Oryzias latipes: one gene and its partner. The protein of the gene in region 1 interacts with the protein of each later gene in a biochemical or structural test. Links are inferred from orthologs where the notes say so. Each region holds a gene or a part of one and is shown on either strand. Other genes may lie near its edges.

Region 1 (3,751 bases):
TCCACTTCTCTGACATCACCAAAGAAACGCCCGTCTGGCCTCATAAGCAGCTCTTAAAACAAACAGGCTAACCCAACTTTAAAGACTGGGCCAAACCTGACTGACTGCAATAAAGCCCAGAATTCTGCACAAACTGCAGGTTCGTGCAGGTGAACTGAAGCTGGTCCTGCTGCCAGGGCAGAGGTCAGCTTAACACCTCCTCATTATCCAGTCTCTTCAATATCTCTGGTTCTCCTGAAGTTTTAACGCTGCAGTCACTCCCCTGGTGCTAAGGTTACAATTACTGACCGTTTCTGTTCCAGCAGAACAGTTCAGAATTCTCTGGGTTTTGGTTGTTTTCAGCCAGAAACACCATCAGGGAGGTCAGAAGCTATCTGCCCACTTCTGCTGCTACATTTACATTTACGGTCAGCAGAGCTTCAGAGCTACGTTACGACTACAGTAAAGACCTCCAACAATCATTTACTCGCTGCCTCATTCAAAACGACGTTTCCATTTTCATCCTGGAAGGATGTCAGCAGACGGGAATGAAACAGACAGTTGAGCCGCCATCGCCCCGTCAGCCCGTCAGGCTTCATTCGTAGCGCCGTCATGCTCACAGTGCTGGACACCAAGACAAAGAATTAAACAAGCACATTCATGTCAAAATAATTCCAACCCTCTTTCCCCCAAAAGCCCAACAAGTAACCCCACACATGATCTTAAAAATTAAAATACTGAATAAAACCAAAGAACACGTATACAAGGAATACCGAAAGGTGTTTTTCATTTTCCAGTGTAAATAAATGGAAAACTTTCTATTCATTTAGCAGCCAAGGAGGCTGATGGTTCAAACTTCATCTCCTTTAACTAAACATGGCTGACATCTGGGATGTTGTGATGCGAAGTGTCGTCTCGTCAGCAATAACATTTCTGTTCAGTCCAAATACTGCACATCCGTTTTATGGAACGCCCAATCAGAGGCCGGCTTTGAAGCCCCTGGATCTACCAAAAGCTCCAAAGTCAAAGGCTGGAGTAGAACAGAATATCTGGCAGGTCGTCATGGACTGGACCCGTGTTATGAAAGTTACCTCCAAACTGTAATCCTTCACAGATTACCAGTTATTTTGTAAAAGAATGACCTGTTTCCTGACAATACTACAGCCTCAAAATGCCTTTTGTTGACTTTTATGTCACTTTCTTTGCAAGACTTGCAGACCACAACCTGTTTCACACTTGGATGGTTTAATAGTGTTGATTTTTGAACTTCATTTGATAAAAATGAAAGTGTAGCTTATCTAGTTTGAGAGAAGCAGAACCGGAGAACAATATGCTTTTGAAAGACTAAAATCAAAAACACTAATGACAGACGTTTACCAGGACACAGAAACTACACACACACACACATATGTGTGCCAAAAGAAGCCCAACAGGAAATTCAATTTAGTAAACAAGTCCGACTAAAATATTACACATAAAAACATGAAAATCAAAGTTTTAAGTGGAATTTTTCATCTATAATTGCCTTGTGCTGCTGTCATCATTACCTTTGGGTAGAGTCTGTGGTAAATCAATAACTAATGGGTAAAATGTCACAATATTAATTAATAATTCCTTGCTCTACTAGTAATAAGTTACACAATAATTACTTTTTGATTGAAGGATTTCCTTTAAACAGCTGGATGCCGTGTCCAACCATGGAAGATTACAGGGAATCGAACATCTTTCCACCTTCATGTATTCTACCGGCCGACCAGCATCACAACAACAACAGCCGCTTTACTGCTTTTATATTTTTGTGGAAAACTAAAGCAAAAGATAATAGTAGCCTTCAAAAATATACTATTGACTTTGGTTTTACACTGTCTGAATAAATGACAGACAGATTGATTCAAGTTCAATGACGGACGAGCTGGACCCGTCAGTACACTAACACACTCGGTACCGGCCCCATTTGGATCAAACGCGATAACGGTTAGGTGTGTCCCGCGCGCCTCCGGTCAGCGGGCTAGCACCGGGGGCTAACACCGGCTAACCTTAGCTAGTACTCCTCGGCAGACAAAGAGCCGCCTCCCCGGCGCTGGGTGGAGGCCGCATCACAGGCGGCATGCGCGCCGAACCCCCCCGGGAAGCCCGAAAGGGCCTGTGGCGGCACGAAGCATGAGTTCGGTTCCGTTAGCCTGTCAGCTGATCCCCGGGCCGTTAGCCCGACCGCTAAACGAAACAAACGCACCTCACCTTTGAATAAATAGTCGTATTCGTCATCCCTGGTGCCCATCGTCCTCGCGTTAATCCGAACTGCAGTTATCTTAAAGACTAAATGCGTTTCTGTCTTTCTTTTTGGGTTATTTTTTGTTTTCTTTTTTACTTTTCCGTCAGGAACTGAAGGAGAAGATCAACTTCCGCAAGTTCTTCTTCCTTCAAGCAGCGCCCCCTTCCTGGGAAAGGTGACGCCTGGCGGCGGTACAGGGAACTGCTGTTTGTTTGTTTATTTGTCTGGTTCATTTGTTTGTTTGTTTTAATTTGTTTGGGGTTTTTTAAATCTTTTTTGTTGTTGTTTTTTAAGGAAGGATCCTTTCTGAGATAAATTACTGTGTCTAAGAAGGAAAAAAATATTTTTAATTCTGCAAAATAAAAAGACAAGGAGGTGAAGTGCTTCCTTTAGTACTGGATCTCCTCGCAAGGGATAACTTGGGAAATCCATTGGAAAAATGCAGACAATAATTCCATCTCACAGCATCAAAAGTAGAGATATAATTGACTGTTTACAATCAAAATGTAGGAAGCACAAAAGAACCAAAGACAATAAGTAAATGATTTTTCTGTTGTAATAAATCATATTGCATTGATTTACTTTGAAGGTATTGTTGATTGATCCTTTTTAAGAAAAACAGCAAAAACACAAGTGACTGAACTAACATCTCTCTGCTCTTTGGTCCTTGTAGGGCTTGGTATCTCCAATGGCAACTATTGTTGGTGAAGTCAAGCTTCTTTCATCTTCGCCAACTTGCCAAGGTAAAACCTTTTTTAACAGCTGCACATTTTGAAACAGTAATCCAGGCGTTCATCACGTCCCGGCTGGATTACTGTAATTCTCTGTATGTTGGACTCAGCCAGTCGTCTCTCTCACGTCTCCAACGTGTTCAAAATGCAGCTGCCCGTCTTCTGGTTGGAGGACGTAAGAGAGACCACATCACGCCAATTTTAGCTTCGCTCCACTGGCATCCTGTGAATTTTAGAGTTCACTTTAAGATTCTTTTATTTGTTTTTAAATCTTTACATGATCTTGCCCCGCTGTACCTCTCTGAACTTCTCTCTCCCTATTCGCCGGCCTGGTGCCTCCGATCAGCTGATCAGCTGCTTCTGGAGGTACCGAGGTCCAGATGAAGCTCAGAGGGGACAGAGCTTTTTCTGTTGCTGCTCCAAAGCTTTGGAACTCTCTGCCACTGTCAGTAAGAGAAGCTCCATCACTGTCCATTTTTAAAACACGCCTGAAAACCCATTTTTATGCTCTGGCTTTTAATATGACATGAGACTTCTGTTATTGCTGTGTTGCTGTACTGGTTTTTATTGTTTTATCTCTCTATTTTTAATCTTGTGTTTTAAGATGTTTTAGTGTTTGTTTTCTTCTTTTTCTCGTGTTCAGCACTTTGTGTCGGCGGCTGTTGACTGAAAGTGCTATATAAATAAAGATGAGTTGAGTTGAGTTGAGTTGAGTTGCCATACATACGATGACTCAGAGCGACTTGGACCAATCACTGTCGACTGGTTT
Region 2 (3,651 bases), on another chromosome or scaffold:
TGTTCTGGCATCATACTGAGACTTGGGTTTTACGGAACCATCGACAACATCTCCTGAGGGCAAGTCTGGCATCTCATTAGATGCTGATTCTTGCTGAGACATGAAAGTTTTGTCGTCTGTGAGACTTCTCAGTGGAAGATTCTTCTTTGCTCTTTGTGAGTTTTTTCGTTGAAAAGAGGGACTTTGTGGCATTTGTTCCTCCTCTTTCCTGCTCTCACTCGTCTTTTCTGAATCACAATCATTTAGGGCAACATGATCAGCAGGATTTTCAATGCTAAAATCTTTTAAATAATCTTTTCTCATCAGTAGTTCCTCGGATTTCTGCTGCCGTTTTTCCTGCCTGCCAGTGAACAGGCCATCATCTTCTTGGTTCTGCTTTAGGTGTCCCGGTCCATCTTTGGACTTATGCTCCGTATAAGGAAGCTGATCCAACTCTGCAATGTTTTTCGTTGTTTTGTTGTCCGTTTTGCTCACACTAGACAATGTTTGGATGCTACTGCTCACAGCAGATGGCTCCTGCTGTGCAGGCTCTTTGGCACCAACCCTTTGTCTGGGTTTAGCTGTGGGTGGTTGTTTGTCCAAAGCAACTTGCACAGACCTTTGGTCAGCTGCTGGTGTTGGATCAAAAGTCTTCTGACTCTGTGGTCGGTGTGAAGGTGCGCCTTCGGTTGATGCTTTTGCCACATTGCCATCTCCCTCTCTGAACATTCTGTTGCTGGGGGAGCCCGTTTTTCTAAATGGTGGGACTACAGATGGACTATGTCTCGTTACAGACTGGGGGGTGACATTCTGTCTGTGTTTCTGGCTGAAGTCTACACCAGAAGATGCTTGTTTTGGTGGAGCAGGAGCGGCCGCTTTTTTTGACGACACCGGTTTCGTCGTAGGCTTCTTCTCAGCAGGAGTCTCCTGTGGCATGTGGGATTTAAGACTTGATGCATATTCTTCTGGCCCATCAACACTCATTTCAGGACCCACAAGTTCAGGTCCCCTGTCCCTTTGTTTCTGGTTGACCTCAGCAACTATATGATCCCAACGAGTTTGCCCTTGTACTCCATGTCTTCTCTGAGGAAAGAGGCTTTCATAATCAGGAAGTGGTAAAGACAACTTATTTCCTCGTGGAGGTCCATCTTCTTCTACATACACTGGATTTTTGACAGGAGCCAAACTTTCCTCAGTTGGGGTCCTATGTCCAGAATATGAGGGTGGTAGGATGGCTTTTCTCCTTTGGTCTGCCATAGCAGATGATGATGATCTCCCCAATTCAACAGATGACAAATCCTCTGTACTGCCACGGGGAGAACCAGGCCGGCTTGGGCTCCTGTTTGGTGGAGCCAACAGTAGGTGTAGATTGGAGAAAGCCTCAGAGGACTCTGCTGGGACTCTAGTGAAAGTGGACTCAGACCTGACTGAGAAGGAGTCTAGCTGAACCGGAGATTGACAGTCAGGGGTTTCAGACTCCGAACTTTGAGAGAGTCTGCCAAGAAGCGAAAACAAAAGGCCTAAAGGTCAGTGTGACCACAGTCACTTCACAACATAAAACCCAATCACCAATCTAACTGTGTAAACTATGTCCATTTTTTAGCCAATATATAACTATTAAAACACTATTTGAAATAGTTTCCTTTACAAAAAGAGTAAAAAATAAATCAGTTATGCAACAGAACTAGATTCTGATCAAATCCTTTTATTTTCTAGCAAATTCTCATCTCTTCTTGTTTTACATTTCTACTGATGGGAACAGAGACATTGATAACAAGAACAACCTTACCATCATAACAGAAGTTAGAACTCAGACAAATCCACAAAAAAGAAAAAAAATATATATTTTTAAAAAGGTAGCCACGCTGAAGATCCACACACACCAACACTGTGTTTCAGTCTGTGCGAGCTCTGTTAAGCCAACAACTTGTTCCACAGCATTTACCCAGACGCGCCCAGGTTTTCAGCAGCATCTAACCAAACAGGTCGCACAGGTCTGCCGACATGTGAGAAAGTAAAAAAGCTAAAAAATGCAGAGACTGCCAAATGGCAGAGTCATTGCAGGAGAGCAAAAAACCAAACATGAAATAGCTGAGAAATGTCTTTTGTTTTTGCAGATGGTTTTGACAAGAAGCTTAGACAAATAATGCAAAAGGGCAATGTTCAGAGTAAATTCGTAGTAGGAGATTTGTGGTAGTGGGTTACTACTGTTTCCTCCAGAGGAAACCTTTGTAATGTTAGAGAAAACAGACCAAGAAAAACCAGCTGAAGTAAACCAAACCGAATGTCAGTGTCACAAAACTGACAGATTTTGTTCAGATGCATACATTTGTGTATAATGTGCTAAAGGAACTCCAGACTGGTTTCAGTTGTGGTTCCACAACAGTACAGAGCAGAGAAACCACCGTCTGCACTAACAGACGTCAACATGGTTTGTTCTGTCAGCTGTAACTGAAACTAATGGTTTATTTAGTTATTGTGCTGCCTAACCACTTTGTAATTGCATGTCTGTGCTGCAGTTTCTTAAAACACTGGAGTTTGAATCTTGTCCTTTACTTTTGGGATTAAAGTGTCTGCTGAGTGTATCATGTAGGAGTATTCAGAGGAGACAAAGACATACCTGGGTTTGACGGCTGACACTTTAGCAGTCCGGCTGAGAAAAACTGTAGCAGAGGGGGCTTGTGGGTTGCGGTTGAACTTTTGGTTAGCGGCTGAACTTTCACTGTCGACAGTTGAAGGACCAGAGGTGTCTTCAAATGGGTTAGTGGAGTGATGGGACACGGACTGAGTGGGTGCTCCTGAGTTGGTGCGAGTTGCCGGGGTGGGGTGCTGCTCCACAGGAGCTTGCTGTTGTACATCTTCCTTTTTCTCCTCTTTCTTTCGGATCATCCCGAACAAAGACGTCAGCCTATCGCTCATGGAGGCCTCCTCTTGGCGTTTGCGCTCCTCTGCTCTTCCACGCTCGTCTTCAAGCCTTTGATTTTCAGCAGCTTCCAGCACTTTTCGCTCTTCTTCTCTTCTCCTCTCCTCCTCATTTTGTTTCTTCCTCCTTGCTTCATCTTCAATGACACGGCGTCTCCTCTCCTGCTCTTCCTGCTGCTTGCGCTGCTCTTCCTCCTGGAGTTTCTTGGCCTCTGCCCTGTATTTCTCCTCTTGCTCCAGTCTTCTCACCTCAGCAAGACGCTTCTCTTCTGCCTGCCTTCTTTCTTCTGCCTCTTGGTGGCGCTGTTGCTCTAATGAAACTTTATTGATTGGTTCAGATTTGAATGCAGGGACGTTTATAGTTTTGGAGGATTCTGCAGGAATGTCAGATGTGTTTTTGCGGATGTCCTCCAGGGAGCCTTTGCCAGAGCTGTTCAGACTCAGCGTAGACCCACTCTTGGTCTTTGATTCCTCAGTGTACACGTGGTTGCCATTTATGCACAAGTTGTTTTGGTCGTTTATGTTCTGCTTGGAGCGGCCCAGAACAGAAAAAGGACCAAGAGACGTTTTACTGTCAGAGCTTCCTGATCGCTTGTGTCCCAGAAATTTGAATTTCTTTTTACCTGTGGCAGGGAAGGTAGAGAAAGGCCGTCATTGTCGAAATACAAAACAACATTTTCTTAACTCAAACAGCAGAGCAGATAAAAGTCAGAGCCGTTAGTGTACGGAACACGCCAAAAAACACAAGGA

The links. The genes of interacting proteins can lie anywhere in the genome.
Region 2: the proteins of rab11a (region 1) and rab11 family-interacting protein 1 form a complex in vitro, tested with the Homo sapiens proteins (2 studies listed by BioGRID, with this or other methods). The link is inferred for Oryzias latipes from reciprocal best matches to the Homo sapiens genes RAB11A and RAB11FIP1.

Annotation. Positions count from the first base shown.
Region 1 is NC_019861.2:431,378-435,128, reverse strand, and holds the start of rab11a (ras-related protein Rab-11A), read right to left. Parts: upstream 2,420-3,751; 5' UTR 2,258-2,419; coding exon 2,218-2,257; intron 1-2,217. UniProt on the Homo sapiens protein: The small GTPases Rab are key regulators of intracellular membrane trafficking, from the formation of transport vesicles to their fusion with membranes.
Region 2 is NC_019867.2:17,228,810-17,232,460, forward strand, and holds part of rab11 family-interacting protein 1, read right to left. Parts: intron 3,525-3,651; coding exon 2,600-3,524; intron 1,475-2,599; coding exon 1-1,474. UniProt on the Homo sapiens protein: A Rab11 effector protein involved in the endosomal recycling process. Also involved in controlling membrane trafficking along the phagocytic pathway and in phagocytosis. Interaction with RAB14 may function in the process of neurite formation.